Pelodiscus sinensis: one gene and its partners. The protein of the gene in region 1 purifies or fractionates together with the protein of each later gene. This does not show direct contact. Links are inferred from orthologs where the notes say so. Each region holds a gene or a part of one and is shown in the gene's direction. Other genes may lie near its edges. The genes, in order: SLC30A4, CIP2A, C19H19orf25 and PDS5A.

Region 1 (7,443 bases):
GAAAGGAAAACAAAAGCACTGCCTCCTGCTATTTGGGGATTCCTGCTATGTTCACAGAAACAGGACTTTGTACCTTCCTTATACATAAACAAGATTGCATCAAAGAAAATGCCAGGCTCCATCATAATTTCTACTCTTCACTGGAACACTGGCAGAGAGCCCCAAACTTCAACTAACCACTCAAGTCAAAGGGGGTAACAGTAAATATGAGCTTCTTTAGTTGTCCCTTACATTGAGATGAACATACCCTGTCCTGTCTCCTGGGCTGTGTCTAGACTGGCCACTTTTTCTGGAAAAGCAGCTGCTTTTCCGGAAAAACTTGCCAGCTGTCTACACTGGCCGCTTGAATTTCCGCAAAAGCTCTGACGATCTCATGTAAGATTGTCAGTGCTTTTGCGGAAATACTATGCTGCTCCCGTTCGGGCAAAAGTCTTTTTCCGAAAAACTTTTGCGCAAAAGGGCCAGTGTAGACAGCAGAGATATGCTTTCCGCAAAAAAGCCCCGATCGCGAAAATGGCGATCGGGGCTTTTTTGCGGAAAAGCGCGTCTAGATTGGCCACAGACGCTTTTCCACAAAAAGTGCTTTTGCGGAAAAGCGTCCTGCCAATCTAGACGCGCTTTTCCGAAAATGCTTTTAACAGAAAACTTTTCCGTTAAAAGCATTTCCGAAAAATCATGCCAGTCTAGACGTAGCCCTGGTGTGTAGTTGTTCCCCTGAGCCCAAATCATTTCCAGTGTCGTGATGGAGTCACCATCAGACTCACAGATGCAGACTGTCATGAAAACCAATAAAAGGAGGCAAAATAGCCATGTGTGCGTGCGCACAGGTGCCTGTGCAGTTGGCTCCCTAATGCCTAGATAGGACTGAAAATAACAGAGATCGGCTGGAGAGAGATGATACAAATAATTGTTTGGGTAGGTCAAGACTGATATGTAGGTGCTCGGGAACAGAGATCTGGAGGTTCAGAGAAGGGAATCTGGGATTCTTATAATACCTGGAGGTTCAGGAAGAGATGCAGACGGATGGTGAAATAAGTGAGAAAATAAAATTGTAATTTGTGTGGAGAACAGAGGGAGGGTAGGACCTACCTACAGAGATCAGGCTGGAACACAATTGTTAAAGGGCTGTTAAAAGTTCAAGCTAGGACTGCGGACTTCTGGTAGCCTTCTTTCAGTGGCTCTACTGGTGTCATAATACACCAATCTAGGAACAACAGAACCTAGGAATTTTCTTATCATAGGGAGATTCCTGTATTAATCACTTTGTGGAGTCAATTGCTGGGTAAGAGCCTGACACTACATATTTATTTTGCTTCTTCAGCAATGAAAAAACTGTTTAAATGCAAAGTATCTTTATAGCAAAATGAATGATTGAAAGTGCAGCAAAACATTTGACATAGATGAAAAATGCATTAAGGGCTGTTAATAAAATTATGTCTACAATGGTATTTGAAGAACTCACTGCTTTTACTGGTAGGCACTGAGCCAGTTCCTGATGCTATTGAAGCCAATATTAAACTTCCCAGTTGGCAAAATGGAGATTCTTTGTGACGAACAGGGGTCACTCTAGGCCAAGGCTGGGCAAGATGTGGCCCGGGGGCTGAATCTGGCCCGCCTAACACTTTGATCCAGCCCGTGGACAGCATCTGGCTGCTTTCTATCCTGTTGCCCGGGTCACCAAATGTCCAGGCGATGTCTCAGGCAGCAGGATCCTATTTAAATGGCTCATGGCTCCCAGTCGTGGTACTACCCCAGTAGGGGCCAGAGCGGCGAGCCCTTTAAACAGCTGCAGCAACCCAGGATGGCTGTCAGGCAATGCAGTAGTGACGTGGCCGGAAGCCACAAACCCTTTGCTGTGTTTTTACTTCAAAGCCTCTGGTCCCAGACAATTCTGAGGGGAGGATAGTCCCCAGCACTGCCTCTTCTGTCCCAGACCCCGCCCCTTCTGGGGAGTGGAGCCAGCCCATGACCACATACCAAAATGAATTAAGTGGCCCTCTTGCAAAAATTACTGCCCATAGCTGCACCAGAATTAAGATATCAGCTTCTGAGTATTGTATACAACATTAAAAATGACAGTTTCAACAACACCTTTATTTACAACACCATACAACTGACATATCAGTATGTAACATATTCAAGTTTACTTTTCTAATTACAATTAATAGCTTTGCCAACCTTATACCTAGAAGCTAATTCTTCTATGTGATGAGTGACACTGACTTCCTGAGCACCTCTTTATTGCTGGGTGCCATATTGCAGTCTTTTTCCCACTCCTTGGGACCTCTGGAGATTCCCTTCTGCCCTTGGTGGGTTCTTCAGTTATTTGTCTCTCCAGTCAAATCAAAAAGTCCCATGAATCCCTCCTAGGACATTTAAGAGTCCCATAAACAGACAGTCTGTTTGTCCGTGTTAGGGTCTTCTGCCCCAGCACCTGGCCTTTTAAATTCAGCCCTTTGTTTGGGTTCCCAACTAAGCCCTGTTCCCTCTTTGGAAATTAAGACAATTTACCTGGGGGTGGCAGAGGAACTCAAGCCCATCCACTACTCCAGGTTCCAACCTAAGAATCCTACACACAGGAACCCTGTACTGATTAGTCTAATTAACTGCTGTTACTTCCATGGGTTTCTTCCTAGCAGGCTCCTTTTATCTATCTCCAGGCCACAGATAAGCCCCTTTTTTCTCTCCTGTTGTCCCAGAAAAAAAACTGATCTGCTAACCTCTGAAACTTTTTATCTGAGTCTAATGGGCTCCAATTTCCTGCTTCTGTGAGGCCTCTTTAGACTAGGCTAAAGCACCTACTTTTGCTGCTGGAGTCTGGGGGGAAGTGGGACTCCAAGGCATCCTGTAGGGGTCTGCAAAGGCTAGGTGCACCTGACTGTATTCTCCCCCCTAAATCAGTGGCAAAGCTCTCAGCTTCAAAGGGAAGCAGTTCACACCCCTTACTTCATTAAGTAGAGTCAGGAAAGTGGTGCACAGAGGGCTCCCCAAAGTGGCAAAATGATTATATTACTGTGCCAGGTCAGATGAACAGGCATGTGAAACAGAATGTAAACAATCCTGCCTTTATTGCCACAAGTACTGGGGAAAACAGAAACAAGATGCAACTTTCAAGACATTTTTTACATGACTTCAGTACTAAGCAGTCTAGCCATCTCAAAGAGGACTCTGATATGTGCAAATCTCTCAAGACTCCTGGGCTTCTTAAAATTCCACACCTCAAAAAACAATATGGGCTTTATATATATATAGTCCTTATGTTAATCCTATTGGTGTGCAAATTGTGTGGTAAAGTGGGCTTGCATAGAAGGAACTGGTTACAGAGTAACAGAACATTTAGTTTTATTTTGTGCCTTTTTTAGCCAAAGTCTTTCAAACCACATTACAAATATGTGAAATATTAATGAATATACTTACCCAGAATAGCCATTTTCCTATCCACATAGTAGGAATGTAAAATCCAGTTTAACTGGTTAATCAGCTAAACATAAGGGGTGCATCTAGACTGGCAAGATTTTGCACAAAAGGAGCCGCTTTTGCGCAAAAACTTGCCAGCTGTCTACATTGGCCGCTTGAATTTGCGCAAGAGCACTGACTTTGTAATGTACAAAATCTTGCGCAAATACTTTCCTGCTCGGGAAAAAGCCCTCTTGCGCAAGAATACTTGCGCAAGAGGGCCAGTGTAGACAGGAAAGAACTGTTTTGCACAAAAAAGCCCTGATGGCTAAAATGGCAATCGGGGCTTTCTTGCGCAAAATCGCGTCTAGACTGGCCACAGATGCTTTTGCACAAAAGCACTTTTTACGCAAAAGCATCCGTGCCAATCTAGACGCGCTTTTGCGGAAATACTTTTAACGGAAAAACTTTTCTGTTAAAAGTATTTCCGCAAAATCATGCCAGTTGAGACGCAACCAGGGGATAACAGGTTAACCGATGAAAGGGGATGACCTCTAGAAAATCGGAACTTCAGGGGATAGCCGAGTTAGTCTGTTACAGAAAAAAAAACAACAACAAATGGTTTGGTAGCACTTTATATAAACTAACAAAACATGTAGATGGTATCATGAGCTTCCATGGGCACAGCCCACTTGGGACATTTGATCATAGAAGCATAGAACTGGAAGAGACCTCAGGAGGTCATCAAGTCCACCCCCTGCCCAAGGCAGGACCAATCCCACCCAAGTACAAGCATGCAGTTAAACAAGGACACAGCCCCTCAATTTGCATGCAGGCATCAGGAGTTAAAGCACTTTAAACATTTGGGCTGTAGGTCCGAGATCGATAGTTATATATCTAACCACTGGCCTGACTGGAAAAGCTGTAACTTTCTGTAGAGGCAGCCATCTCAGACAACTTCACTACAGACCCCAGGAGCCTCCGCTGCCTACAACTCCCAGTTTGCCACAAGCCCAGGGTTCGCTGTGTAACCCTTTGATTTGCAGGGAGACTGTGTAGCCTACAACAGGACATGCGACGCGGTTCTCTCTCTGCGCCCCGTCCCCGGCGTGCAAGCCAGCAGCCTGCTCACCACGGGCGCGTGGCGAGGCAGAGGCCCAGCGGGAGACCCCGCAGGGCTTGTGCCAAGCTAGGCTGGGACCAGCGGCATAGCAGAGGCGGCTGCAGACCGCGCGCCACTTTGAGTGCCGACCGAGGAATGCGAACAATGCGCCCAGCCAGCCCCCTTCCGAGCTACTGCGCCTCTCTCCCGCACGGCCCCGACACGGGGGCCGGCGCATGCGCCCTGTATGGCCGGCGAGTCAGCAGCAGTAGCAAGCCTGGTTGTCTTGAAAGCGAGCGAGAGAGAGAGAAATGCAGCAGCCGGGAGCAAAGGGGTAAACGCCCGACGCTGGCTTTGCAGAGGGAGGTGCGGTTCCTCCCTCTTCACTCAGGGATTGCTGCATGCTCCTGTTGGAAAGCCCGGATCCTCCCGTGGCTTGTCCCAAGCTGGCTTTGCCCGGCACCAGGGCAGCCTTTTCTGGCGAGGTGCTGCCCCTTCCGAGGGAGTTCAGAGAATGACCCGAGTCCACACCCGAGGGATCTGAATTGCATGGAGGCGGGGGTGCTGTTAGCCCTACCAAGGTACTGAGCCCTTCCCACAGGTTGGACCTGCCTGTGTTTTTCAGCAATGCAAACCTGAGATTCCTGAGCAACAGCTGTTCAGCATAATTTTAAACAGGAGAGTGTCACCATTTGTTCCCGTGTGCTCTGTGCGAGGAGGGCTGGGTTCGGTCGGTATCGAACACGCCTTTGCTACTGTAGTCAGTGCTCGCTGTTCAGCTGCACAGCGAGTAGGCCAGGGGAGGGACACGAACGGGGCTGTTTAAAATCGATTCTGGTTTTTTGTGTGTGTGCTTCTACTGCCTGTTTGGTATCCTGGAGATGGTCAGTCCAGCCTGAGTCAGAGGTTCGGGAAGAGGGCTGGTTAGTACAGGATTACCTGGAATAACCCCCCACTCACAGGTGCATTTTCACTTGGATTTATGAATTGAACGTGTGACTATCTGATTTCCTCAGGCTTGGAGGAAATGTCCTGAATGGCCGGTGACATGAAGCATTTCTGCCTGCCAGGGGAAGTTGCATGAGAATTGGCTGCAGCTAAGCAGCAACACCCAGCTCCTGGCTGCAGTTACTATGGCCCAGTCCAAGGTCTGGAGCAGCATCAAATCTATGCTGAGAAGGAACGATGATCCCTTGTTCTTGAACGACACCAGTGCCTTTGATTTTTCTGAAGAAGTGGGTGAGGAGGACTGTCCCCGGTTTAACAAGTTGCGAGTGGTAGTTTCTGATGACACTTCGGATGCAGCTCCAGACATACCTGTCAATGGGGCTCACCTAGGTCTGCAGTCCGACGATGATTCTTTGCTGGACCGGGATATTGCTTTGCGAAGCACACAGACTAGCTCCTCCAGGACAGACCCTTGCAGCAATTGCAGTAAACAGAGGGAACTATCAAAACAGAGGAAGGTGAAAAAACGACTGACCCTGGCTGCAGTTCTCTATCTATTCTTTATGATTGGAGAGCTCATAGGTAAGTTGGATTTGGTTTTCTTACTTTCTCAAGGGTTAATGGAAAAATGCCTCTGTGCTTTTTTAGGACACTGTTTTATTACACAATTTTCTTTTAATTATTTGCTAAAGGAGACTGTGTATTGGTTTGAGACCCACAGATTTCAGCATAAAGTCCAGAGAGTGCTCAGGGTAAAGGGAGTCAGCAGGCAATTAGCATAAGGAAAGAGTTTAAAGGGACACTGACAACATTAACTCTTCCCTGGTTGATGTTTATGAGGATCTTATCAACAAAGAAGACATTTTCAGTTTGTTTCCCTTTAATAGCATAATACCAGTGTCTATATAAGATTTTAGGGCCTTCAAACGTCATTATTTATATTAGTTTCCAGATACATCATTCAGCAATATAATTTAGTTCTATCATTGAAAGGGAAAAAAATCCCGTAAAGATTACAGTCATTTACAGCTTCCTGTTTTGCATCTCCCTAATGGACTAACATCTACACTGAACTAGTTATTTTTGTATCCTAAGCTGTCATTATAAGCAACATGAAAGTGTCTATTGTATGTTGTTTTAAAGCAACAAATGATTTTGGATTACTCTGATCATATGATTTACTGAAAATTCCAGACGTCGTTAATAGTTGGAATTGGGAAAAACATGCTGATTTTTCACTCCAAAATTGTTCCTGTTACAGATTCATTCAAAACAGTAATAAGCTCATTTTTCAAGTTCAATTTTTATTGATCTCTGATGAGCTCTTTTGATATCAAAGCATGTTATCTCTTCCAGTTCATGTTCAAGAGATCTATAACATTTTAACCGAAATAGCACGATACAGCAGTCTGTAAATCTATACACATATGACTATATTACAGTGGAACAGCAACTGTAATCTTAATAGATAAGATTAAGACCAGCTTTTTGTTTAAAGTTCAACTATTTTAAGTGGTCAGACTTTGCCAGGCTCTAGGCAAGGTGCTGGGCAGGGGGGCAGGGGGGAGGGGAGGGAAAAGAGGCTGGTTCTAAGTCCTCATAGCGGGTGAGGCCTTAGGTGGAAAGGGAGGGGCTGGAGACTAATCTTTCCCCAGCCAGTCCTTCAGTGCTACCCTGTGCCTGCCACCCAAGACTCTGGCAGCAACTTAAAGGGCCTGGGACTCAGGCTGCTGCTGTTGCTGATGTAGTGGTGGTGGCGGCTGGAAGCCCTGGGTCCTTTTAAATTGCTGGGCCTCGTGGCAGCTATTCTTCATCCCTATACCCCGTCAAGTCTAAATATCTGTATAATTACTCAGATTCACTTACAATGAAAAGGCAGAGTGTGCGCAAGTAAGAGAGACGTGCTCCCTGCACCTGTCATATGCTCGAACACTGAGCCTGTTCCCCTGACAGAATACCACACTTGTAAAATTTAGGAGACACTTCATACTTTTTAC
Region 2 (7,127 bases), on another chromosome or scaffold:
CTTATTTTGAGGACTGCAAGTTTCTACAAAGATGCATTTAAGAACAGTTTGATTGTTTTTATATTTAACATTTGTTTTGAGAATTGCATTTGTCGCATGCATTTAAAACAGAAAACAAATGACTCTGTGGTGCCTACATTTCTTTTTTTTTTTAACAAGAGTTGACTTTAAATAATTAAACCAGGGATCTGCTTATTATACATTTTTCTTCTGAAGGTCACCATTTGTGGAAATAGTGTGACATTTTTACTGCTTCAGGTAACATACTAGATAATTGTGAATTTTGACTACTGGCTCATTGTAAATTTAAAGGGCTGGTCCTTCCACATTTTGTAAGCCGGGGTGGGCAATAATTTGTGATGGGGAGGCCACGCCAAGATTTTGGTAAGTGGCCAAGGGTGACACTTTTTTGTGGAGGGGCTGTGGGGTCTGGGTGCAGAAGGGAGCTAGGGATAGCAGACTGGGGTACAAGAAAGGATTCTGGCCTGGGGAAGGGGCATAGAGAGGGTGCAGGGTCTGGAAGGGAGTTGAGGGGAGGAAGGGGCTGGGTGCCAAAGGCAGGCTCTGGCCGGGAGGTGCTTAACTAAGCTGTGCACGTGGTTCTCTGCACTGCCAGAAAGGGAGCGGGGAAGGGAGAGGATTCATTTGCTGCCTCCCCAGCAAAATCTTTTAGCTCCTATTGGCTGATTTCAGGCGGCAGGGGCAGCATGCTGAAGCCTCTCCCCACAGCACAGAGAGCAACACAGAGCAGCTAGCCACTTTTATTGGTGCTGTTCCCGGCTACAGGAATAGACTTGGACCAGATCACAGGGCTTGGCAGGCCGAATCCACCCGACGGGCCATATCTTGCCTACCCCTGTTGTAACTGAAGGGTATTTGCAGTGTTGTGATACAAACAGGTGTTTAAAGTAATCCTTTCACCTCCAAGAAGATTAGTAGACAGCCACAACATTGATTTGCATGGGAAAGTAAGTTGTTGCCCAAGGGAGAAAAAGTGGTTTGGTGTTGTAGGAAAAATCTTAAAGAAATACAGGTATTATTGCTTTATATTAGAGCTCGACAGCCTCCTCCCCATTCTAACATCAATTATCTGAATAAAGTTCATTAACTTTGCTCTTCCTACAGATATCTTTATGGGACATTTTTTTATGATTATATTAAATCAACACAAGCCTGAATAAGAAAAACAGTGTTGAAAATCAGTTTTCATTCTGGGGACTCTAGCTTGAAAGTCCCAGAGAATTAACACTCTCTTTACTTGACTCTTCACTAGCTGCAGAACCACTTCAGCACAGGAAACCACAAGTGTCTTTACCCCAATGTACTTTAACTCTAACTTAGAGGGCCACTTCTGAATCAAAATGGCAGTTAGATTTCCTGTTCAACTTTTAGCCAGTGCCCAGTGGGCCAGTCATTAAGTGAAATTGTTTTTCTGAGATAAACACTTATATTCTAGAGCAGAACTAACATAGTGTTATTTCACCCAGGCTACTAAACAACTTCAGGGTGGTTATGATTGTTGGTCATTAGGAGTATGTCTACATTACAGGACAAAGTTGAATTAAGATACGCAAGTTCTGCTACATCAATTGCATAGCTGAAGTAGCTTAACTTGGCTTTTGGCGCTGTATACACAGCAGGAAGTCAAAAAGGACACTCTTCCTTCGACTTCCCTTACTCCTCATGAAAGCAGTTACCAGCATCGACCAGCATCAGAGTGCCCCTCTCACTTCAAATTAGCTCTCTTAACTAGACCGCTAATTCAAACCTGGAAGATTGACAGTGGTAACTTCAGTCTTCCTCTGTAGTGTAGTCGTACCTTAGGTGACCTAGAGATAAAGGGCGTTTGTATGTTCTCTTATTATCAGTGCTTTAAGTGTGCCATGTCACAGACCCAAAATAATATTGCTACAGTCTGAGCCAGGTAGCAATGCAGACTTCAGACCTGTTTGAGGGAAAACCTTGCTGATTTCATTGGCTGCCTGCCCTTCTTGCCTATATCTGGAATGAAGAACAAGTGATCAGAACTGCTGCAGAAAGGAGAAGAAAACTCTGTCTCGTTCCTCTCAGGAGTCCAAGTGGCTTTCAAAGGAAGTGAGAAAAAGGAGCAGAACCCCGCCCTCCTGTGAACCAGACAGGAGGGCTCGTCTTCTCATCTCTCTTCCCTACTGAACCTTGCCTTAAACGGGTCCAGTTATGACATTTTGGGGATCAACCCCGATGAGTGAGGGGGCTATCATCTTGCCCTGCAATCTGGGATGCTTCATAATACTTTGCTGCTAGACCACTCACTAGCAGCCAAATAGCAGGCAGCTCACGCCCTGAGGCTATGTCTAGACTACATTCCTTTTTTGTAAAAGGGTTGTAAATTAGACGTATCGCAATTGCTAATGAAGCGGGGATTTAAATCTCCCCTGCTCCATTAGCATAAAAATGACTGCCGCTTTTTTTCTGCACGAAGCTTTCCCGGAAAAAAGTGCCTGTCTAGACGCTGATCTTGCAGAAAATAAAGCCTTTTCCAAAAGATTCCTTATCCCTCTATGAAATAAGGGAAATATTTCATCCAGCGCGTTATTACGCAAGAAGGGCCATGCTTCTGCAGAGCGTCCCCACTATCCACTCGCTCTTGCATAAGAAGATTTACAGTAAAGCGTGGTAAAAGAGGGCTTCTTGTGCAAGAGCTACGCTCTTTTCTAACAGATGTAAATCCTCTTGCACAAGAGCTCTTGTGCAAGAGGGCAGAGTGGATGCACGACAGGGGTTTCTTGTGCAAAAAAGCCCTAAGGCTAAAAGAGCCATCAGAGCTTTCTTGCACAAGAGAGTGTCTTCACTGCCATGGATGCTCTTGCGCAAAAGCATATCTTGCATATGGGAGTGTGGACGTGTTCTTGCGCAAGAGTTCTTGCTCAACCCTTGAGCAAGAACCCTTGAGCAAGATGTTCTTTCGCAAGAAGCTGCCAGTGTAAACATAGCCCTTGAGTCCTCACTCATACCTTTGCCTTCTCTGTGCCCCACTCCCACCCCTTTGGAGCCAGTGTTGGGGAGAACAGGCTTTTAAACCAGCTCTTCCCCCCCAGCACCAGCTCCTGCTTTCTCAGCATGGGGACAATGTGACAGTTAGGAGTGTGGGTGGTAACAGAAGCATCTTAACCCACTTCTTCAGATGAGTGGAACGTGCCCACAAAAGCTCATGCTACTATATAGGCTATGTCTACACTGGTGGGTTCTTGCGCAAGAACAGCTGTTCTTCCACACAGCATCCATGCTGCCCGCCTGCTCTCGTGCAAGATTTAAAGTTAAGCATGGTAAGAGAGGGATTCTTGCGCAAGAGCTACTCTCTTTTCTACCAAGTGTAACAAGACCCCTTATGCAAGACGGCAGTGTGGATGCACGGCAGGGGGTTCTTGCGCAAGAAAGCCCTATGACTAAAATGGCCATCAGAGCTTTCTTGTGCAGGAGAGCATCCACACTACCATGGATGCTCTTGCGCAAAAGTACATGGCAGAGTGGATATGTTTACACAAAAACATCTTGCACAAGAACCCGCCAGTGTAGACATAGCCAAGCAATCCCTGCTCACCCCAGGTCCTGACTGCTGCGCTTCCACCTTTTAATTATAGTAAGAGTTGCATGGGCAGGTCTTACTACATTTAAAAGGCAGGGGCACAGCGGGGATAGCGAACGCCCCACCTCACGCCCTTATGGACTAATCCGGTAGTAGTGGGTGGACATCCCAACTGCACCATTAGCTGACGAATCAAAATGTAACATCCCGCCCCAGGACACCCATCCGGTCTCTTGCTCTTCCAGGACAGCCTGGGGCAGGGGCTGCAGCTCCCAGGCACCCTCCGTGCCAGCTGGCTGGAGCAGGGGGTCTGCATTGCTGCTACTGCCAGCACCAGGGCAGGAACTGGGGGATGCTGCCCCCCCCCCTTGCAGTGGTTTCCCCATAGGCAGAGCCTAGAGTTGGGTTCATTGGCTCTCAGCAAACGCCCCGCCCACTGACCCCAGCGCAGCCCAATAGCGACAAAGCGCCCAGGCAGCAGCAAGGCAGAGCCCCGCCCCCCGCTGAGCCACCGCGCTCCCAGCATGCCCCGCGGCGGGGAGACTGGTTCCTCCCAGTCCTGTGAGCCGAGCTCTCAGGTCACCCGCCCCGAGCGTCATGGCGACCGCCTCAGTCCGCGCCGCTCCCGGCATGCACCGCGCGGGGGAGGGGCCGCTGGCTCTGCGGGCTCGTAGCTAAGATGGCGGCTCGGGCGCCAAATACGATTGCGACTCGGCTGCGCGCGTGAGGCGCCGGGCGGGCGGCATGGAGGCCGCGGCCTGCTTGAAGTCCCTGCTGCTGGCCGCCGCCCAGTACCGGGCCGCCAGGAGCGAGCCCCACGCGGCGCTGCTGCAGCGCAGCCTGGAGGTGAGCGCGCGGCCGGCGGCGTCACGCCCCTTGCTCAGGCTCGCCCGCCCCCACGGGGGGGGGGGAATTACTGTGGGTCCTACCGTAACGGGCGCGTGTTTTCTTAGAGCCCGGGGGGCTTTTAAAAAAAAACGATGCTGGGAGGCGCGGGGCTTGGCAAAGCTACAGCAGCTGGATCCCCCCCCCCCCCCCCCCGCGACACTCAGCTCGAGCCCCCGCCCCGCGCCCTTTGGCTCTGGAACTCAGGGGCGGTTGCAGAGGCAACGAGGGAGGAGGGGGGGGCTCAGTGGTTTGAGCATTGGCCTGCTAGACCCAGGGTTGTGAGTTCAATCCTTGAGGGGGCCGTTTAGCAACCTGGGGCAAATCTGTCAGGGGTGGTACTTGGTCCCTCCCTCTGCAGCATCATCTCGTTCTGGATTTGGCTGCTGGTCTCATTACATCGCTGCCTTGGAAATCGCACTTCTTGGATGTATTTATTGTTGGTCTTGCTTCTGGGGGCCCCGACGTGACGCTACAGAAGTAACTTGCACGACGGGGAGCTTTTTTCTGTTTCTAGTCAATTTATCTTTTCAGATATGGTCACTGTGTTGCTTTTCCTGTGTAGTAAGTAAATTGGTTCTGTTGCTCCTTTAGACACAGGAACCGAGTAAAGGAAAACGCTATTTTATATACACTTGCACTCTGCCACCTGCCTAGACCTGCCCCCCCCTCCCCCAGCCCTCTCCTGCACCCAACCTCCTGGCCAGGCACTCCCCCCTCCTTCAGCCCACTCCTTCATCCTTTCAGGCCCCCCACTTCTCAGCCGGCTCTTACACCCTACCAGACCCTGTGCCCCCCATCTCTATCCTACTCCCCAGCAGTCCAGTACTGTACACTAAATCCTTTACTCCAGAACCTAGGAGGGCCCAAAAAAGTACCAGTTCTGGGACTCCAGAAGAGTTAGTCTGGCCCATGAAAATCCCTGAATTTCTGTCCTCCCTATCCTCCTCCCCTTCTCCCTCCACCCCCTCCCCCCGGAAAGATAAGAAATGTATGTTTTTTTAAAATATAAAGGACACTACAGTAATGAAAAACATATTTCCAGAATTCTAAAAATTCAACAAAAGTGAGCTTGAAAAAGGCAAATAAAAATGTCAGTGTGCTGTTAGTGATGCTAGAGTTATTGACAGTATTATCTTTTCAGTTCAGTGCAACTTAGGGATGTTAAATTTCAACTAATTAACAGAATAGTCGATGGAATTTCCATCAATTATTTGATGAGTCGATAAGGACTTCTGCGTTCTGCCTTTGAAATGTACAAGAGCACCAGGAGGGGCTCTTGTCCATTTCAAAGATTGAAATGCTGTGTGGAGGCCAGGGCCACTAGGGAGTCCCGGATAGTGGACTAGTTACTTACATCCCTAGTATAACTACCTTCTCAATCTTGTGTTGAAATGAGACAAATATGGTTGTAGCTATATTAATAGTTACTCTAACATGTCTTTTAGGTTATCTCTGGATTGAAGCTAACGAGATTGTTTGCATCAAACCAAATACTGCCTAACGAATGTCTGAGCTGTCTAATAGAGCTCATCGAGGACCCAAATATAAGTCCATGTCTAACATTGTCTGTGATTACTTTGTTGTCACAACTAGGTAATTTATTTACATCTAACTTTTCTTTTAAGAGAATTAAAGCTCATTTTTCAAACATTTTTAATAAATCTTAAAACAGTTTGAATCAGTGACAGGTTGCATGCAGAAGTGAGTTATCTGCTATATTATCTGTGCAAATTGCATTGATTTTAGGGATGGGGAATTAACTGCGTGCTGGAGAAAAATTACCAAGAATTTAGTTTTCTATTTTATTCCTGGCAATGTCTAATGTCTTGCATTTTATGGGATCACAGAAATTGCCAAACTGAATAATAAAAAAGCCATCTGATTTAGTTCCCATACCAGATGCTTCAGAAGACTATGTAAAAGCTTTTTTGCTTGACTGCTATCTAATATACCCATATAGGAGAATTTTGATCCTAAATCCATACAGTCAGTGGTTGTCTTAACATTCAAAACATATGATGGTGTGTATCTCTTTCTCTACATCAACCTCGCTTATGTAACCGGTGAATGACACATGGCAATATTAATTTTCTTTGATAGTTGCTTTCCCTTTGAGATGCTTCCCGGTTGCAGTCAGCAGAAGTGACTGAGATATGAAACAGAATGCAGGGCATTTGTTACAGGGATGCATTTTGGAACTTGCTCCAGGCTTATTCAAGCCAATCTCCAGGATCTGCTTGAAGGGTGATCTTTTCTCTCTGGTCCATGAAAGTCAGGAAATAAATTAAGTTGCAGAGTATTGGAAGTGGGCTGCCCATTTTAGGTTTATTACGTCTGGGTGTATGTTGCAGTGATAAGGGGTAGTTAATCTGTTTTTAAAGGATCTTTATGGGTTCCTAAAATGTAGCAGTAATGTAGGTGAAATGCCTATATTAAGCTTATTAAATTATTTTGTAAGTTTCTTGTACTCTATCCAAGGGTGATAAGTCATGGTTGGAGGTAGTTATGAGAATGAGTAGTTTATAATGGCAGTGATTTCCTTTATAAAAGTCTGCTTGTTTACTCAATAGTGTGACTAGTTCTATCTTGAGGTGCGTTTGATTTGTGAGTAAACTGAGTTTTGAGGTCCCCCATTTCCCATCTTACTGGGGAAAACTGCAAGTGGATTTTTCTG
Region 3 (7,565 bases), on another chromosome or scaffold:
GGCGTGGTCTGTAAAATGGAGACAGTACTTCCCTTATTCGGGAAGGGGGGGCAGAGGTTAGTGGGGGACCTCTAAGGGAAAGAATGATCCCAAGGACAGGTGCCCGATGTGCTAATTGTCTTTATTTTCCTCTTTGTAGCCTCCAAAGCAGCAGTGCAGCTGGGTCAAGAATCTGACAAGACCAAGTGAGGACGGAGCTCCCAGCGGCCGGCTGTTCTGATCCCCTCCCCGCCCCAACTGCAACTTCCTAGACCAAAAGCTTGAAGTGACACCCCGCTCCTCCCGGCGATAAAGCGGCAAGCCCCCTCCCATTCGCCAGCCCTTAGCGCCAACAAGCCCCTGCCGCCCAGGGCTCTGTAAGAAGCACAGACCTCCCCAAACCAAGCTCTGCAAGGGGGCGGTCCGTGCCTAGGCTCCGTGGGAACCGCTGACTTCCAATAGACAGTGTTTGGTAGTTCCTGTTTCTCAGGGCGCCTTTCTTCTGGGGGCGGGGCTTTCGGTGTCGTTTCCCCAGCGTGTTCTAGAACACGGGGTCGAAGTCGGGGTGAGGCGGGGGAGGGGTACAATCCGCTGCTGCGGGCCCTCGGGAATTCGCTGGGCTGGAGCTCAGGTTGTCTGAGCCTTGTGATCAGGGAGTCCTGTGCAAGCAGCCCCTCTGGAATATCGCCCCCCCCACCTGGGACCTGCCCCTCTAGCCTTATGGGGGCCTGCGGGCCGGGGGGGAATTGGGATGCAGTGTGACTCCGTGGGGCTGGGGGAATGACTGCACCCCAATTAACACTGGCTATGAAGCCCCCCTCCCTCGTCCCAACACAAGAGCCTCCGCAATAAGCCACAGCCCAGAAGGGAGGCGGACGTGGGTTTCGTAGCCACGGGGTCTATGCGCTGAGTCCCAGGGGTCTTTCCATGGCTCCGGCTTGGTCCGGGTTCGCTGTGGCCGGCCCAGGCCCGGCTCTCCAGTTCCCCTGGCCCAGTCTTGAGCTGCTTCTCTCGGGTCAGCGGCCCTGCTTCCCCCTTTCGCCCCGGGGCCGGCCTGCTGGGCAAAGGAGCCAGCCGTGCGAGGGCGGGGGGTGAGCTCTGAGAGAAGGCAGGTCACGCCTGGGTTCAGCGCTCTTGAAGTGCTGACTCATGATCGTCCCGGTTGCACTTCCCTGCTAGCAGTTTCATACCTGACCAAGCTGCCCTGGCAGTTCAGAGATCCTTCTCTAACTCCCCTTCGTCACTCCCTGCCCCAGCTGCCTGGGGGCCTCTGCTCCAGTCCCCACCTGGAGGGAGGCTCCAGGCCAGGAAGGGATGTGTTGGGTCTTGCACAGGTGCCAGGAATGTGGTTGGAGACAGGAGCACCAAGCCGTGATCAGCAACAGGGTCTGGGAATCACCCGTGTCCCGACAGTCTGCTTAGGTGCTGGCTGGGCCGTGCCCTTCCAGAAGTGGACAAGGGAGGGTCTCCAGCAGGGTGTTGGCTGCTTTCCTGGCCCGTTTGCTTCCCAGGGGGGTGACCCTGGGCTTTCACTACTTTGAGATCATCCTGGAATGAGTGGGGTCCGTGTATGAAAAAACCTGATCGTCTGCCTCCTCCACTCTCCCTCTGCCCTTCAGGCGTGGAACCTGCGGCCTGCCTGCGTTGGGCTCGCGGTTCTCCATCGCGCCCGCCTCCTTCGAAAATAAAACAGGCATTGATCTGATTTGCATAATCCCAGCCGCAACAAGCTGTGCATTTTGTAGAGCGCACTCGGCCTCCGTTCGGCCTCAGGGGTGACTCCATGCCCTGCCTGCTTTTTTTATTAGCAAGGAACGGTGGTTCATTCCCCGATTTATTTGTTTCTTTGTCTCCGTTGGTTGTGTCTGAGACAGAATAAAGGGGACTCTGACCGACTCTGTTCTGTGCATGGGTTTTATTTGCATTGCTTGTTCTCTTAGTGCTTGGTGATAGTCCGGGTGAAACACAGACCTGCTGAGTGCAAGGGAAGTTCCCCCTACAGCAGCTTAGAGGAGGGGCTAAAGAATCTCAGAACACTAGAACTGGAAGGGACCTCGAGAGGTCATCGAGTCCAGTCCCCTGCCCTCAGGGCAGGACCAAGCACCATCTAGACCGTCCCTGACCGGTGTCTCTCCAACCTGCTCTTAAATCTCTCCAGAGATGGAGATTCCACAATCTCCCTAGGCAATTTATTCCAATGTTTAACCACCCTGACAGTTAGGCTGCGTCTAGACTGGCAAGTTTTTCTGCAAAAGCACTTGCTTTTGCACAAAAACTTGCCAGCTGTCTACACTGGCCGCTTGCTTTTGCGCAAAAGCACTGACGTTCTACTGTCCGAAATCAGTGCTGCTTGCGCTAATGCTTTGACGTTCCCATTCGGGCAAAAGCCTTTTCCGGAAATGTTTTTGTGCAAGAGAGCCAGTGTAGACAGCTAAAAACTGTTTTGCGCAAAAAAGCCCCGATGGTAAAAATGGCGATCGGGGCTTTCTTGCGCAAAACCGTGTCTAGATTGGCACAGATGCTTTTCCGCAAAAGGTGCTTTTGTGGAAAAGCGTCCATGCCAATCTAGACGCTCTTTTCTGCAAATGCTTTTAATGGAAGTGTTTTTCCATTAAAAGCATTTGCAGAAAATCATGCCAGTCTAGACGTAGCCTTAGGAAGTATCTCCTAATGTTCAACCTAAACCTCCCTTGCTGCAGTTTAAGTCCCTTGCTTCTTGTCCTGTCCTCAGAGGCCAAGGAGAACAATTTTTCTCCCTCCTCCTTGTAACACCCTTTTAGGTATTTGAAAGCTGCTCTCATGTCCCCTCTCAGTCTTCTCTTTTCTAAACAAAACAAGCCCAATTCTTTCAGTCTTCCCTCCCAGCTCATGTTCTCTAGACCTATAACCATTCTCTGAAGACAACAGATGCCCCCTTCTGCCATAGCATCTCCACCCTATGCAGGGGGCACTTTTGGAGTAGGCAGGAGGCTCAGAAGGGAGATTAGGCCCGGACTCAGGCACTTGAGTGCCCTTGGCTTGCTTCACGTGGACAGCAGACATCCTCTGAGGGTAACCACTTAGGAATGGTCTGAATCGGCTCCAGTGTGGATGCAACGCCCCAGCGTCCGTGAGTTACTTGCTGCTTTAGCCAGGGCTGAACTTAGCCTCTCTGCTACTCGCCTTGCAGTACAGGCCGTCCCCGGGTTACATGGATCTGACTTACATTGGATCCCTACTTACAAATGGGGTGAGGCAACCCCGCACTAGCTGCTTCCCCCCAGCAGACTAGGGAGACGCGAAACTAGTACCCCCCCCCCCCAGCAGACCAGGGAGACACGAAGCTAGTGCCCCCCCAGCAGACCAGGGAGACGCGGAGCAGCTTTTCTCAGCAGACACCTCAGCTTGAGAATAAAGGACTGAGGGAAGTGAGGTGTGGGAGAATAAAACTGAGCTCTGGAGAAATGTTTGGCTAGAGTTTTCCTTACAATATGTATCAGTTCCGACTTACATACAAATTCAACTTAAGAACAAACCTACAGTCCGTATCTTGTACGTAACCCGGGGACTGCCTGTATAGAGACCAAAGGATTTGCAACTAAGTTTGTGTATCAAGTAGGGATGTAAAATCCCATTTAATCAGTTAACGGCTTAAATGAGATCCTACAGGTGGGGGCCGGCATGGTCTGCCCACAGTGGGGTGGGCTTGGCCAGGCAGGAACAGCCCCCCAGCCCGCCCCCCGTGGGCTGCTCCGGGCCCAGCTGGGCTGCCACTGGGCAGGGAACTCCTCATGTGCAGCCCAGGCACTCCATGCGGCAGGTGGGCGGGGAGCTGCACTGACCCTGCTAGCCATAGGTGAGTTGTGGTAGCATGTTTAAGGTGCACCGCCCCCCATGCTCCTGCCAAAGTTGTAATTGTCAATGGGGTGCCCCTACATGCCTCCGCCCCTGCTGGCTCCAGTCACCTATATATGTGCTGCTGTCCCGGCTAGCGGCCCTCAGATCACATACACAGAGAACAAGGAGTCTGCTCTACAGCCTTAGCTGCCGGGGCGGAGATTCCTGCACGAGGTGCCAGAGGTCCCAGGTTTGCTTCTGTTACGGGGGGTCCCCCAGCCCATGTCAAACGTGCTGCCTCAAGGCACAAGTCCCTGCCTCCCACTCACAAGCTGCCCACGGCTTTGCAATGGGGCGCTGTGCTCACCTCCCCCGTGCAATGCACGAGCTGGGGGAGGGAGCAGGGATGGAGCAGCTGCTGGGGGAGGAGGAGCTCAGGGTGCAGGGCAGCGTTCCCTGTAAGCTGGGTGCTCACCACTCAGAAGAGTCCAATGCCCCTGGCTGATTAGCAGGGCGCCCGCAGCCGGCAGCCTGTGTGTCTCCCGGTGGTGCACATGCCTGCGTGCACAGAACAAAATTTATTCTGCACGTGGATGGGAAGGATTGGAGGGAACCCTGGTGCGGGGGGGGGGGCAGAGTGCGGGTCTGAGGGGCTGTGGCTGAGTCACCTTCTCCCTCCCCTTCCCCGCCCCTCCGCGGTGCCAGCGAGCGGAGCGCGGCCCCTTTAAGGGGGGGGGCGGAACGCCAATGACGCGGCGGGGAGGAACCGGAAGTGGGGCCTGCAGTGGTTCTGGGCCGTGGGCGGGGCTACGGTGGCCGGCTGGGAAGGGGGAAGCCGCGTCCGCAGCCAGGTGGACGTGTAGGTGGGTGGGCACGTGGGGCGCGTCCGCTGGGGGGCGGGGCGGGGCGGGGCGGCGGCTATATGGTGGGGGGGAGCAAAGGGGGCGGGGCTATATGGTGGGGGGAGCAAAGGGGGCGGGGCTATATGGCCGGGGGGGATAGCAAAGGGGGTGGGGGCTATATGGTCAGGGGGGTAGCGAAGGGGGCAGGGCTATATGGCCGGGGGGGGAGCAAAGGGGGCAGGGCTATATGGCTGGGGAGTAGCAAAGGGGGCAGGGCTATATGGTCAGGGGGGTAGCGAAGGGGGCAGGGCTATATGGTCGGGGGGGGTAGCAAAGGGGGCAGGGCTATATGGCCGGGGGGGGGGAGCAAAGGGGGCAGGGCTATATGGCCGGGGGGGGAGCGAAGGGGGCAGGGCTATATGGTCGGGGGGGGGTAGCAAAGGGGGCAGGGCTATATGGCCGGGGGGGGGGAGCAAAGGGGGCAGGGCTATATGGCCGGGGGGGGAGCAAAGGGGGCAGGGCTATATGGCTGGGGAGTAGCAAAGGGGGCAGGGCTATATGGTCAGGGGGGTAGCGAAGGGGGCAGGGCTATATGGTCGGGGGGGGGTAGCAAAGGGGGCAGGGCTATATGGTCGGGGGGGGGTAGCAAAGGGGGCAGGGCTATATGGCCGGGGGGGGGGGGAGCAAAGGGGGCAGGGCTATATGGCCGGGGGGGGGGGGGAGCAAAGGGGGCAGGGCTATATGGCCGGGGGGGGGGGGGAGCAAAGGGGGCAGGGTTATATGGTCATGGGGGGTAGGATGTGCAGTGCAGGGTAGGAACAGGGGCAGAGATCTGGCACGTGGGGCGGGTAGGAATGGGGGAGTGGATAGGCGCTACTAGAAGGAGATAGGAAGGGGTGGGGGTGTATGGTCTGAGGCGGGGGTAGAAATGGTCAGGGATCTGGCATGCGCGGGGGGGTGTCTAGCAATGGGGGTGGGGGCCAGGGATTAAGGGGTGTATAGCCAGTCGCAGGGAAGGGGTGCAGCAGCATCTCAGCGGGCAGGAACGTCACTGCCTCTGCCTCTCTTCATGCCTGCTCTAGGATGCCTGTTTCGGAGGCGGAAGAGTGATGAGCTCCAAGGGCAAGAAGCGGGTGGTTCTGCCGACCCGGCCCGAGCCACCCAGTGTGGAACAGATTCTCGAGGACCTCAGCAGCGCCCAGCCATCCGATCCCATGTTTGTCCTTCTAGCAGAGACCAACAAAGGTAGGAGAATGCATCCCAGCTCGTTACCCTGGAGTCCCGGCGAGTGCATTCAGTAGGAATTCTACCCAGCCAGCCTCTCCAGTCTTAGCTATGCATTACGACTTCTCCTTCAGTGAACATTGCATTCCTGCGCCTTGAACGGTGCTGCCACCCTGCCAGTTTGTTGGCTTGAATGCCATGAGTTGTGGAGTCCTGTTCTTGGAGGACACCTCTTAATAGCCTCAAAGCCGCACCTGTGCTTGGTGTCTGCTCCGAAATGTACATTAGGGTTTGTCTATGCTACCGGACAGCTCGATGGGCAGCAATCGATTCAGCAGGTGTCGATTTATCACATCTCGTGTAGTACATTGACTTCAGCTACTTATTCCCGTAGCTGATATTGCGTAACTTAGATCCATCCCCCCCGATAGCGTAGACCAGCCCTTAGCTTTGTGTTCAAAGACTATCCCTTGTTGTTCTCTGTCTCTTCCTCCCACGTTTCCCCTCCCCAGACTTGCCAGCCCCTGGCAGGAAGGAGGACCCTGAAGTGAAGCGAGAGTGCCTGTACCAGCAGAGTCATTCTTACGTGGAGATGACCCAGCGGCTGCAGAAAGCCTGTAGTCTGCTGAAGGAGAAATGCGAAGAGCTGAAGCAGGCGGGCGTGACTTTGGAACAGAACGTCATGGAAATTAGGGAAAAGGCTTTGTGAGGCGGTTTGGTCTTTGAGGAGACTGGGCTGGCTTTTTGTCTATGCTCCTGGAGGGCCTGCCCTCGACAATAAAAAGCCCCCCCTCCTAGTCCTGAACCAATGCTCAATGTGGCTCAGATTTTCACAGACCTCCCCAGGGTGGCGTCTTGCTTTGGAATCCAAATCCGAAGCCCAGAAAGCCACCCACCCACGTAACGCCGGCGTGTGCTTTGATTTAATGGAGGATCTGGAGCTACTGCTGGCATGACGTCCCCCATCCCCTCTGGGTTTACATATGACTTCTCCCTCTGGTACTGCCCCCACGACGATGAAATTGCGTCCTGCATCTCCGCCATGCTGCACGAGCAAGGCTTCCGGGGTTACGCCGAGCACCAGGACCAGGTGGCAGGCACCTCCGTCCTCATGACGGCCACCGAGGTCATCCAGGCGAGCAGGGTCGCTATCGTCATCCTGTCGGCCCGGTCGCTGGCGGACCCCTGGTGTCAGCGCGTCTTGGAGTGGAACCTGCACCATGTGATCGAGCAGGAGGGGACGAAGATGATCCCGGTGTACGTGGACGTCAAGAAAGAGCAGGTGCCGCTGGTGTTAAGGCATCTGAACGAACTCTGCTACAAACAAGCCTTCTTTAAGCGGAGGCTGCTGGAGAGCTTGAAAGCCCTCAGGCCTCCCGCTGGCCGAGCGAGGGCCGAGCGCGCCTCCAAAGCGACCTGTGTGAAAAGCAGGGTCAGCCGATAGCAAGTGGGGCTAAGTACAGGTGGGACCTCCCTGGTCCGGCACCCTTGCGACCTGACTGGTACCGGATGAGGGATTTTGCCAGACCAAGGGAGGTCATTTCTGGCCCCATCCCCTGTCTTGCCCCTCCCTCCCCACTGGCTTCCTCCTGCCCCATCCCAGTTGAGCCACATGCTGGCTCCCGGGCCCCACCCTTACCCAGCCCAGCTGAGCTGTATGCCAGGCTCTCCGCCCCCAGCTGAGCCCCAGATGTGCTGTGTATC
Region 4 (7,382 bases), on another chromosome or scaffold:
GGGTGTAGAAAGGAGTGAGGGTGCAAGGTCAGGCTAGGGGGCAGGAGAGGACTGGGGGCTTGCTATCTGGCCAGGGAGGATTTTGGACAGGGGGCAGGCTGACTGGCCAGGAGGCTGGGGTGTCTGCTGGGGGCAGAGGGGATTTTGGCCAGGCGACTGGAGGCAAGGGGTGTCTGGCCAGGAGGGATTTTGGCCAGGGAGCAGGGTGACTGGCCAAGGAACTCGGGTTGTCTGGCCAGGGGCAGATAGGGTTGCCAGGTGTCCCGTATTCACCCGGACAGTCTGGTATTTTCACCTCCTGTCCAGTAAAAAAAAATTCAGAGAATACTGGACACCTGAGATATCAGGTGTCCGATATTTTCTGAATTTTTCCCGGGTCAGGAGTCAAAAATGCCAGGAACCTGGCAACCCTACAAACACTCAGCCCCTGCTTCCCCCCCACCATCCCTGGCCCCCAAAACTCCCAGCCCCCATGCTTACCTGGTTCCCCAGGGTTGCCAGCACAAAATGGCGTCAGGCCAAAAGACCTAGGGGAATCAATGCTTCCCCTGGGTCTTAGTGCTCAACCACTCCCCTGCACTCACTCTTAAAGGGGACATGCTGTTTTAATGCTGTTTTGTTTTTTGTTTACTAAGTCTTGGAGTCCTTCCCCCCCCCCTCAACAACTTGGATCCCCCCCCTTTTCTTTTCCTTCAACAGAATTTTTTCCCAGTGATTTTTCTCTTAGGGGGGCGGTGTTCGTTATTTTTGTTTCAACTATCTGGCAACCCTGGGGGCAGAGGGGATTTTAGTCAGGGGGTGTCCGGCCAGGAGTGGGGAGACGGGTTGGTTGGCCAGGGGGCAGTGGGTGTCTGGCCAGGAGGCAGGGGAGATTTTGGCCTGGGGGCAGGAGATTTTGGCCTGGGGGCAGGAGAGTTTGGACTGGGGGAAGGTGGCTGGCTCTGGGAGTGAGCGTGTGAGGGGCACTTACTTGTTTTCGCACCATGCGGCAAGCACTGTGTAACATGCCACCCGCTGCTCCCTTTTGCCAGCAGAAAGCCTCCGGGAAGGGTTGCAGGGAACACTGCAGGAAGCATGTCCCAAGGGAACAAATTAGCAGTACACAGGGAGCCATCTTTGGTTACTGGTTTCCCCCACGCTGGGGGGAAGGAAAAGTGTCACACCAAGCCATGGTTAGCTGTTTGTTCCCTGCATGCTGCATCTGCTGGGGAGCCTGGGCGCTCTGTCCCCCACACTGGTGTTCTAGTCTTGCAGGGACCATAAGGCTGTAGCATCAGCACTGACTCCATGCTTCAGGTAGAGCAAGGGAGCAGGGGCTGAGTTGGGGCTGCAGAAGAGCCATATCTGGCTCACAAGCCATAGGTTGCCGACTCCTGCCCTATGGACTTTGTTCCTCACAACAGCAGCCCCTCCCTTTGCACCTTATGGAAAACTGTCCTTTTCCCGGGGCTCCGATTGTTCTGGCACAACCAAACTCTGTTCTTATTTTAAGTTAGAAGATGAGGAAGCTGTATACTAAATTTGGTGGCCTTAGCTCTTACCATTTAGGAGGAGTTCATGAACAAAAAGACTCGTACGCTGACAGATATATTCCAATATATATGCATGCTTTTAGAGGCTATATATGTTCCAGCAAGCAATGCTCCATCTTGTTCTTCAGCAAAAGAGACGGACAGCTAGCCTTATCTTGTATACTCTGCATTTTGTTTACTCCTAATTTAGACCAAACTAATTGGTAAGGACTTGGGCCTAATTTTTTACCCTTCTATCTCATGATCTGTCAAATCAATATTTCTTGGTTTCTTTAGATGGAGTTACTGGAAAAAGTTATAACCATAGAATGAATCTAATACCAAAAAAGTGGAGTGCAACATTGTTCTCTCACACAAATAAGATAAAGTGAAATTGTGGACAAATAGCAGTGGGTTCAGTGATAAACTGCTTCTGAAGATCAGTAAGAGACTTTTTTCTTTTAAAGAAAAACACCAAACATTAGAAACCCAAGAAATTCAGAGTTAAGGTTGCACTTCCCTACCATGACACCCAAACTATTTTACTCTGCCTCCGTAAATATGCCAGATTACTCTTTTGTATGTTGGGTATAAAAAAGTGCACCAATGAGCATTGTAACTTTCTTGTGTAAGCACATGCTGACCTACATCCTCATTTACTTACCATCCTAAATGATTCACACAGTTTTTGTACATGTACATCATATTTTGTTTTCCTATCTATAGATAGGTATTCCAGTTTGTTTTTAACTTATAATTTTGATTCAAATATATTAAAAATAATTAAATGGATAAGCACCTTATTTGTCCGTCTAATTTGGGGAGCAATGTATAAGGAGCAGGAATGGAAATTAAGAACTCTAAACATTTAAAAAAAAACCCCACAATTCATTCATGTCCATATCAATTCAAAAAAAAATAATTGTGACCATATTTTTGTATCCTGTTATTGTTAGTGAAATGTGACTGCTAGTACTGAAATGTTCCAATAGTATGTCCAGCAGTATTAGCTGTAGTATATTTCTAATGGTGCCTCTTAAGTTTGCTTTGGGTAAAAACAATTGAAGTACATTCTACTGGTTTCTTTGGGATGACGTTTTTATAACCTGGTCTTGTAGCTCACTGTGTAGTTACCAATATGTTACAACTAGACCCAGTAGTGGCAGTCTGGGTGCTTCTGATCCAAATGGGTCTGGGTGGAGTCTAGTTACTGTTTCTAGCTTTGGGAATATCTGTTCAGACCTCTTGTTGGACACCTTGAGTAGAGATTTTAAAATGTGCTTAATTAATTCACTGCATAACATGAAAAGGTCAGTGGTTACATGCACCTGCCACCTCTGGTGCAGAAGAGGTAGGGGAACAGTTCCCTTCTCACAGGTACCAGGCTTTTAAGTTGGCTCCCCACAGTACACGGTTACTTTTTCACATCTTTAGCACAGAGCAGTCCATTCTTGCATAGACCTGCTTCTCTGCTGTGTACTAAACAGAGAATCTCCAGCCTCCATTTGGTTGTGCTTGTCTCATCCCCTCATGTAAGGACACTGAATTAAAAAAAAACCTTCATTCCATGGGCATGGCCCTAGATTGCAGGGTTGACTGCTTCTCAATAATAAGTTTTCAACAGTGTCAAGAACTTTTGCATGAAAGGGGAACAGTCCGAGAAGTGGAATAGTTTAGACGTGTTCAGCACATTAGCAGTTTTTAATTTGACAAAGACATATCCTATTGTTACAGACCTAACCAAAATGTGTTCAATTTCTAGGAAACAATAGATGAAAGACTATTAAACAGCTATAACTTTTCTTGAGCTCATTCACAAGCCCTCATTCTCTCTGTATTGCTCCTGAAGCCCTGTATCTGTGATGAGAGCTAAGACTTTCTAGCTGACAATGTCATGTTTGACAAATAAGTTGACTACAACTTATATGCTATATTTTAAAACTGTAGATATTGCTTCCCTTCTCCTACCCAATCTCTGTTACTTTGCCTGTCTAAAGCTTGGAAGTTAGTTGGACAAGGTTCTGGCTACTTATCTGATTAGCCATGGGTGCTACTGGAAATAGATCAAATATGGGAAAACTCCTTGCACCAATCAGAACTTAACAGCTGCAAGTAAAGTCAAGTAGAAGGCAAACATGAGTGTTCAAAAGTTAGTTGAGACCAAAAGGAAAATGCTGTTCAGCAAAATCATTTGGAGTCTTTCGCTGAGGTGCTTTCACTAGGGTGCACTTCTTTCTGGGCCAGCTTGTATGGAGAACAAACGTGTGACACGCAAGGGATTAACTCATACTGGGGAAGTTACTAACTAGCACAGTAACTAGAAGCTTGGGAGCGAGAGAGCTGGAATCGCGGGAAGGCGCTGGGCCCAGGCCAGCAAGTGAGGTAGCACCTGCGCACAGGCCAAGCTGACAGTGAGCGTCCTGCCCCAGAGCTCACAACCGAGCTAAAAGGCAAAGGGTTCGGGGTCCGCTCCGCCCCGGCAGGATTCCCGCGGATTTCCTCTTGCTCCTAGCTCGCCCTGCAGTGACCCGCCGCCCTGTTACTTTGAAACTGGCCCCGGAGGCAGCATAGCCTTGCTGGAGAGGGCAGTGGCCGAGCAGGGATTCTCGCCCGCCTATCAGAGTCGTTTAAGCGCAGCCCGGCCAGCTGGCGAGGCGGGAGGCACAGGCAGGATCCCATGCCACATCTCGTCGCTACCCTCGAGAGTTGGGGGGCGGCTGTGCCTGTGGCCCTGACAGGCCGACCCTGCTCAAGCTGCCAGTCCCAGCTTGCCCACTCGCCTCCCCCCTTCCCTGCCCGGCGGGATCAGCCGGCTCGGAGCTGCTGCTGATTTTGGCGCCAAGCGAGAGGCGGCGCTGCCGCGGCCGTGCCCGGTACCGCCTACCCCGCTGCCGCCCTGCCTGAGCAGGGCACAAGGCGCGAGGGAGACGAGCTGGGAGCGGGTTCTGCTGCTAGGGTGGGGCAGGGGGATCCCGGCTGGGCGGCGCTGGGCCAAGCCCCGGGGTGGGGAGGGGGGGAAGAGTAGTGTGGAGCCTCCTCCTGGGCTGTTCTTCCCCGGCCGGACGGAGAGCGGCACTGTGTCCCCGCGGCGCGGCGCACGCTCCGCCTGAGCCGCCCCCTCTCACCCCCGCTCCTGCCGCCGCCGAGCAGCCTCCCCCCCACCTCTCCTGGGCAGCTGCCGCCGCACCGCGGAGCAAGGAGGCAGCAGGAGCAGCTAGGGCGCCGGCCGGCCGGCAGTGGCGGAGTAGCAGCAACAACACCCACCCGGCACGGAGGCTACTCAATGCTGCACCTTCCGGAGCTGCATGAGGTAAAGGCGGCTCCGGGTCCCGCTTTCCTCCTCCTCCCCTCCCCGCGGCAGTGCTGGGGGGGCTCTTTGTAGGCTTCGCAGAGCTAGTTGGGTGAGGGGCTCCGGGGCGAGATGAGGGGCTGGCGCCGAGGGTACCTGAAGTTGAAAGAACAAATGTAAAGTGGAGACTGGCCTGGTCCCCTCTCGAGGGGGGCTGCTTTCCTCTCGGGGGGGGCAAGGGTCAGGTAGGGGGCTCAGTGCATGGCTGCGCGGGGCCGGCCGGCGGCAGCGAGGTTTTGTTTGGGATCCTAGCCACCTCCTCTCCTCCGGCTGGTCTCTGCCTCCTGATAGTTTTGAGGCCTAACTGCTTAGGCCTCGTCTCCCAGCTCTGAGGCTTCTGTGACGGCCTCAAAGACCCGCTGGGACCAGGATTTTGTCCTCACCGACCCCGCTCAGGCTATAATGGGCTTTAAACTCGAGGCATCCTTTGGTTTGGGTTAAAATTTCATTGTAAAATCTGAGACTGCAAACTAATAATGTTGGGCTGGAGGAACCTCACACTGAAAGGAGACACCAGAGGAGGGTGGAGAGGTAGAAGTTTTGGGATGAGAGGTGGCTTAGTGAGGGGCTTCCGAAGCCCTGCTCAAGGGGTGGGGGTGCAGGATGTTTGCCCTCTTGATATTAAGTGGGGCCTTCTGTGAATTGAGGTTTAGAAATGGAAAAAGAGGGCTGAAAGTAGTCTCTGTTCCGCTGAACTTTTGTTTTCTGACCGATAGAGGCCGGTAGAGGACTGTGGAGAAGGAAAGTTTATAACTGGCGGCATAAGGATGGACTTTCCTACTACCCAGCCAAAACCTTCTGCCGATGGTAAGATCATCTACTATCCTCCCGGAGTAAAGGAGATCACAGACAAAATTACCAACGATGAGGTGGTCAAACGGTTGAAGGTAAGTGCCTCTTCCCCTCACCTCTTATTAATCTAAAATGAACTGTTGAATAATCAATGTTCTAATTTGTGTGTTCTAGAATATTTTAATTTGACATGAAATAAACTACCCATAAGGGGTGAGTGGTGGAAATGGGTATATGGATTACAGGAAGCAAAAATTTGTTTTTAAATGTAACAGTTATTGAAAGTTCCAGGGTTTTGAAAAAGATGCCATAGTCCATGGCACTGCCATTGTGGGAGTTGATTATAGAAAACTGGCCATTATTGATTATGAAGTTATTTCTCATTAATTTAAAGCACATGTTATAAACATAGAACTGCATTTCCAGAGTTGCACAACTAAACTTTGGAATATTTTTGTGCAGCCTGCTGCTTAAATTGCGTAAAAATTGCAGCATTTTGTGTTCAAGCTATTTAGGGCTTATTTACTCTTAGAGCTAATTCAGATTAAGGTAGCATGTGGATTTAGAATGAAATAGCTGTTCTGGAATAATTCCATGCATAGATAAGACCATAGTGTAGATAAAGTCACAAAGTTGTTACTTTTTCATAAGGAAGAGGGATTGTCACAAACATGTTTTTTTTTTTTCTTCCTTTTTTTGTTTTTGTTTTTGTGGACTCAGGGGTTTACAGATGGCTTTAAACCATTTTTTTCAGTGCAGAACGTACAGATTTACCTTGTTAACTTTTATGCCATGGTATATTGAATGTATGCTGAAAATAGAGAATAAAATCAGGTATTAATGAAATATCAGTGTTACTCTATTGATAGCATTGTGGTCTTTGTATTCAAGTCTTAAGCTAGGATTTGGGTCCATGTTTAGGATATATTGTATACTGTGTAGTACTAGGAGGGTTTTGTCTAATCTGATTTTTATGGCTCCCATCACTGTAGTAACTGTGTCTGACAGTATTGAAAAATAGAACTAATAAATTATTCTTTAATTCTGTAGAAGTAGTAACTTGATTAGTTTTATAGTTGATATGAAAAAATGTTTTTTGTATATATTAAAAATGTATTTAAGAAATAAGTTTTGTATTTTAATTCTGGAAGTGGCAAGCCTGCAGTTCTCTTGCATACGTGAGTTCCATAATTTAGTTCCAGTCTTGTGAAAGCTCTGTTGCTTGCATTCATGAGGCTCATAAAAAGTTTTTTTTTCTATTGTTCCAGTGGAACATAATTGTGGAGGGTCATGATTATAGAGGAAATGTCTCAAGGTTGAGTTTGGCTAACATCTCCAAAGGACTTTGAATGTTAGGACAGAGATCATGAACTGGAATTTGTAGAGAATGGGTGAGCTAGCATAGTGTGTGGAAAACATGAGTAAAGTGTTTATGTTCGACTATATTTTTCAAGGGTGTGCATTCCTAGATAATTTGTAGGATCAAGCTTTGAAGTCATGAATGCATAGATCACTGTGGCCACATCTGTGTCTGATGAGATATGGCATATTTTTCTGGACAGTAGTAGATGGAAGATGTCTTTCTCCTCCCTTTCCCTCTCCTGTAAGAAAGCATGATATTTTAAAAACAAACATAAATCTGCTTCCAGTGGAGTTCTTAAAAAAAACACATCATTACAATTTAGGCATAAATTAACCAGACTGTGTCCCTTGAAGCTGAGGGCTCTGTC

The links.
Region 2: the proteins of SLC30A4 (region 1) and CIP2A purify together in Homo sapiens (affinity purification with mass spectrometry; 3 studies listed by BioGRID and IntAct, counting the BioPlex papers as one, with this or other methods). This does not show direct contact. The link is inferred for Pelodiscus sinensis from reciprocal best matches to the Homo sapiens genes SLC30A4 and CIP2A.
Region 3: the proteins of SLC30A4 (region 1) and C19H19orf25 purify together in Homo sapiens (affinity purification with mass spectrometry; 3 studies listed by BioGRID and IntAct, counting the BioPlex papers as one, with this or other methods). This does not show direct contact. The link is inferred for Pelodiscus sinensis from reciprocal best matches to the Homo sapiens genes SLC30A4 and C19orf25.
Region 4: the proteins of SLC30A4 (region 1) and PDS5A purify together in Homo sapiens (affinity purification with mass spectrometry; 3 studies listed by BioGRID and IntAct, counting the BioPlex papers as one, with this or other methods). This does not show direct contact. The link is inferred for Pelodiscus sinensis from reciprocal best matches to the Homo sapiens genes SLC30A4 and PDS5A.

Annotation. Positions count from the first base shown.
Region 1 is NC_134724.1:21,136,977-21,144,419, forward strand, and holds the start of SLC30A4 (putative proton-coupled zinc antiporter SLC30A4), read left to right. Parts: upstream 1-4,428; 5' UTR 4,429-4,832; exon of another isoform or gene 4,833-5,079; intron 5,080-5,514; 5' UTR 5,515-5,631; coding exon 5,632-6,028; intron 6,029-7,443. UniProt on the Homo sapiens protein: Probable proton-coupled zinc ion antiporter mediating zinc import from cytoplasm potentially into the endocytic compartment. Controls zinc deposition in milk.
Region 2 is NC_134711.1:155,149,120-155,156,246, reverse strand, and holds the start of CIP2A (protein CIP2A), read left to right. Parts: upstream 1-4,109; 5' UTR 4,110-4,309; coding exon 4,310-4,411; intron 4,412-4,494; exon of another isoform or gene 4,495-4,584; intron 4,585-5,898; coding exon 5,899-6,046; intron 6,047-7,127.
Region 3 is NC_134729.1:17,423,367-17,430,931, reverse strand, and holds the start of C19H19orf25 (UPF0449 protein C19orf25 homolog), read left to right. Parts: upstream 1-4,549; 5' UTR 4,550-4,658; intron 4,659-5,719; 5' UTR 5,720-5,746; coding exon 5,747-5,882; intron 5,883-6,373; coding exon 6,374-6,570; 3' UTR 6,571-7,565. Other genes in the region: REEP6 (receptor expression-enhancing protein 6), read left to right, coding at 140-189.
Region 4 is NC_134715.1:92,597,953-92,605,334, forward strand, and holds the start of PDS5A (sister chromatid cohesion protein PDS5 homolog A), read left to right. Parts: upstream 1-4,366; 5' UTR 4,367-4,794; coding exon 4,795-4,821; intron 4,822-4,857; exon of another isoform or gene 4,858-4,976; intron 4,977-5,576; coding exon 5,577-5,747; intron 5,748-7,382. UniProt on the Homo sapiens protein: Probable regulator of sister chromatid cohesion in mitosis which may stabilize cohesin complex association with chromatin. May couple sister chromatid cohesion during mitosis to DNA replication.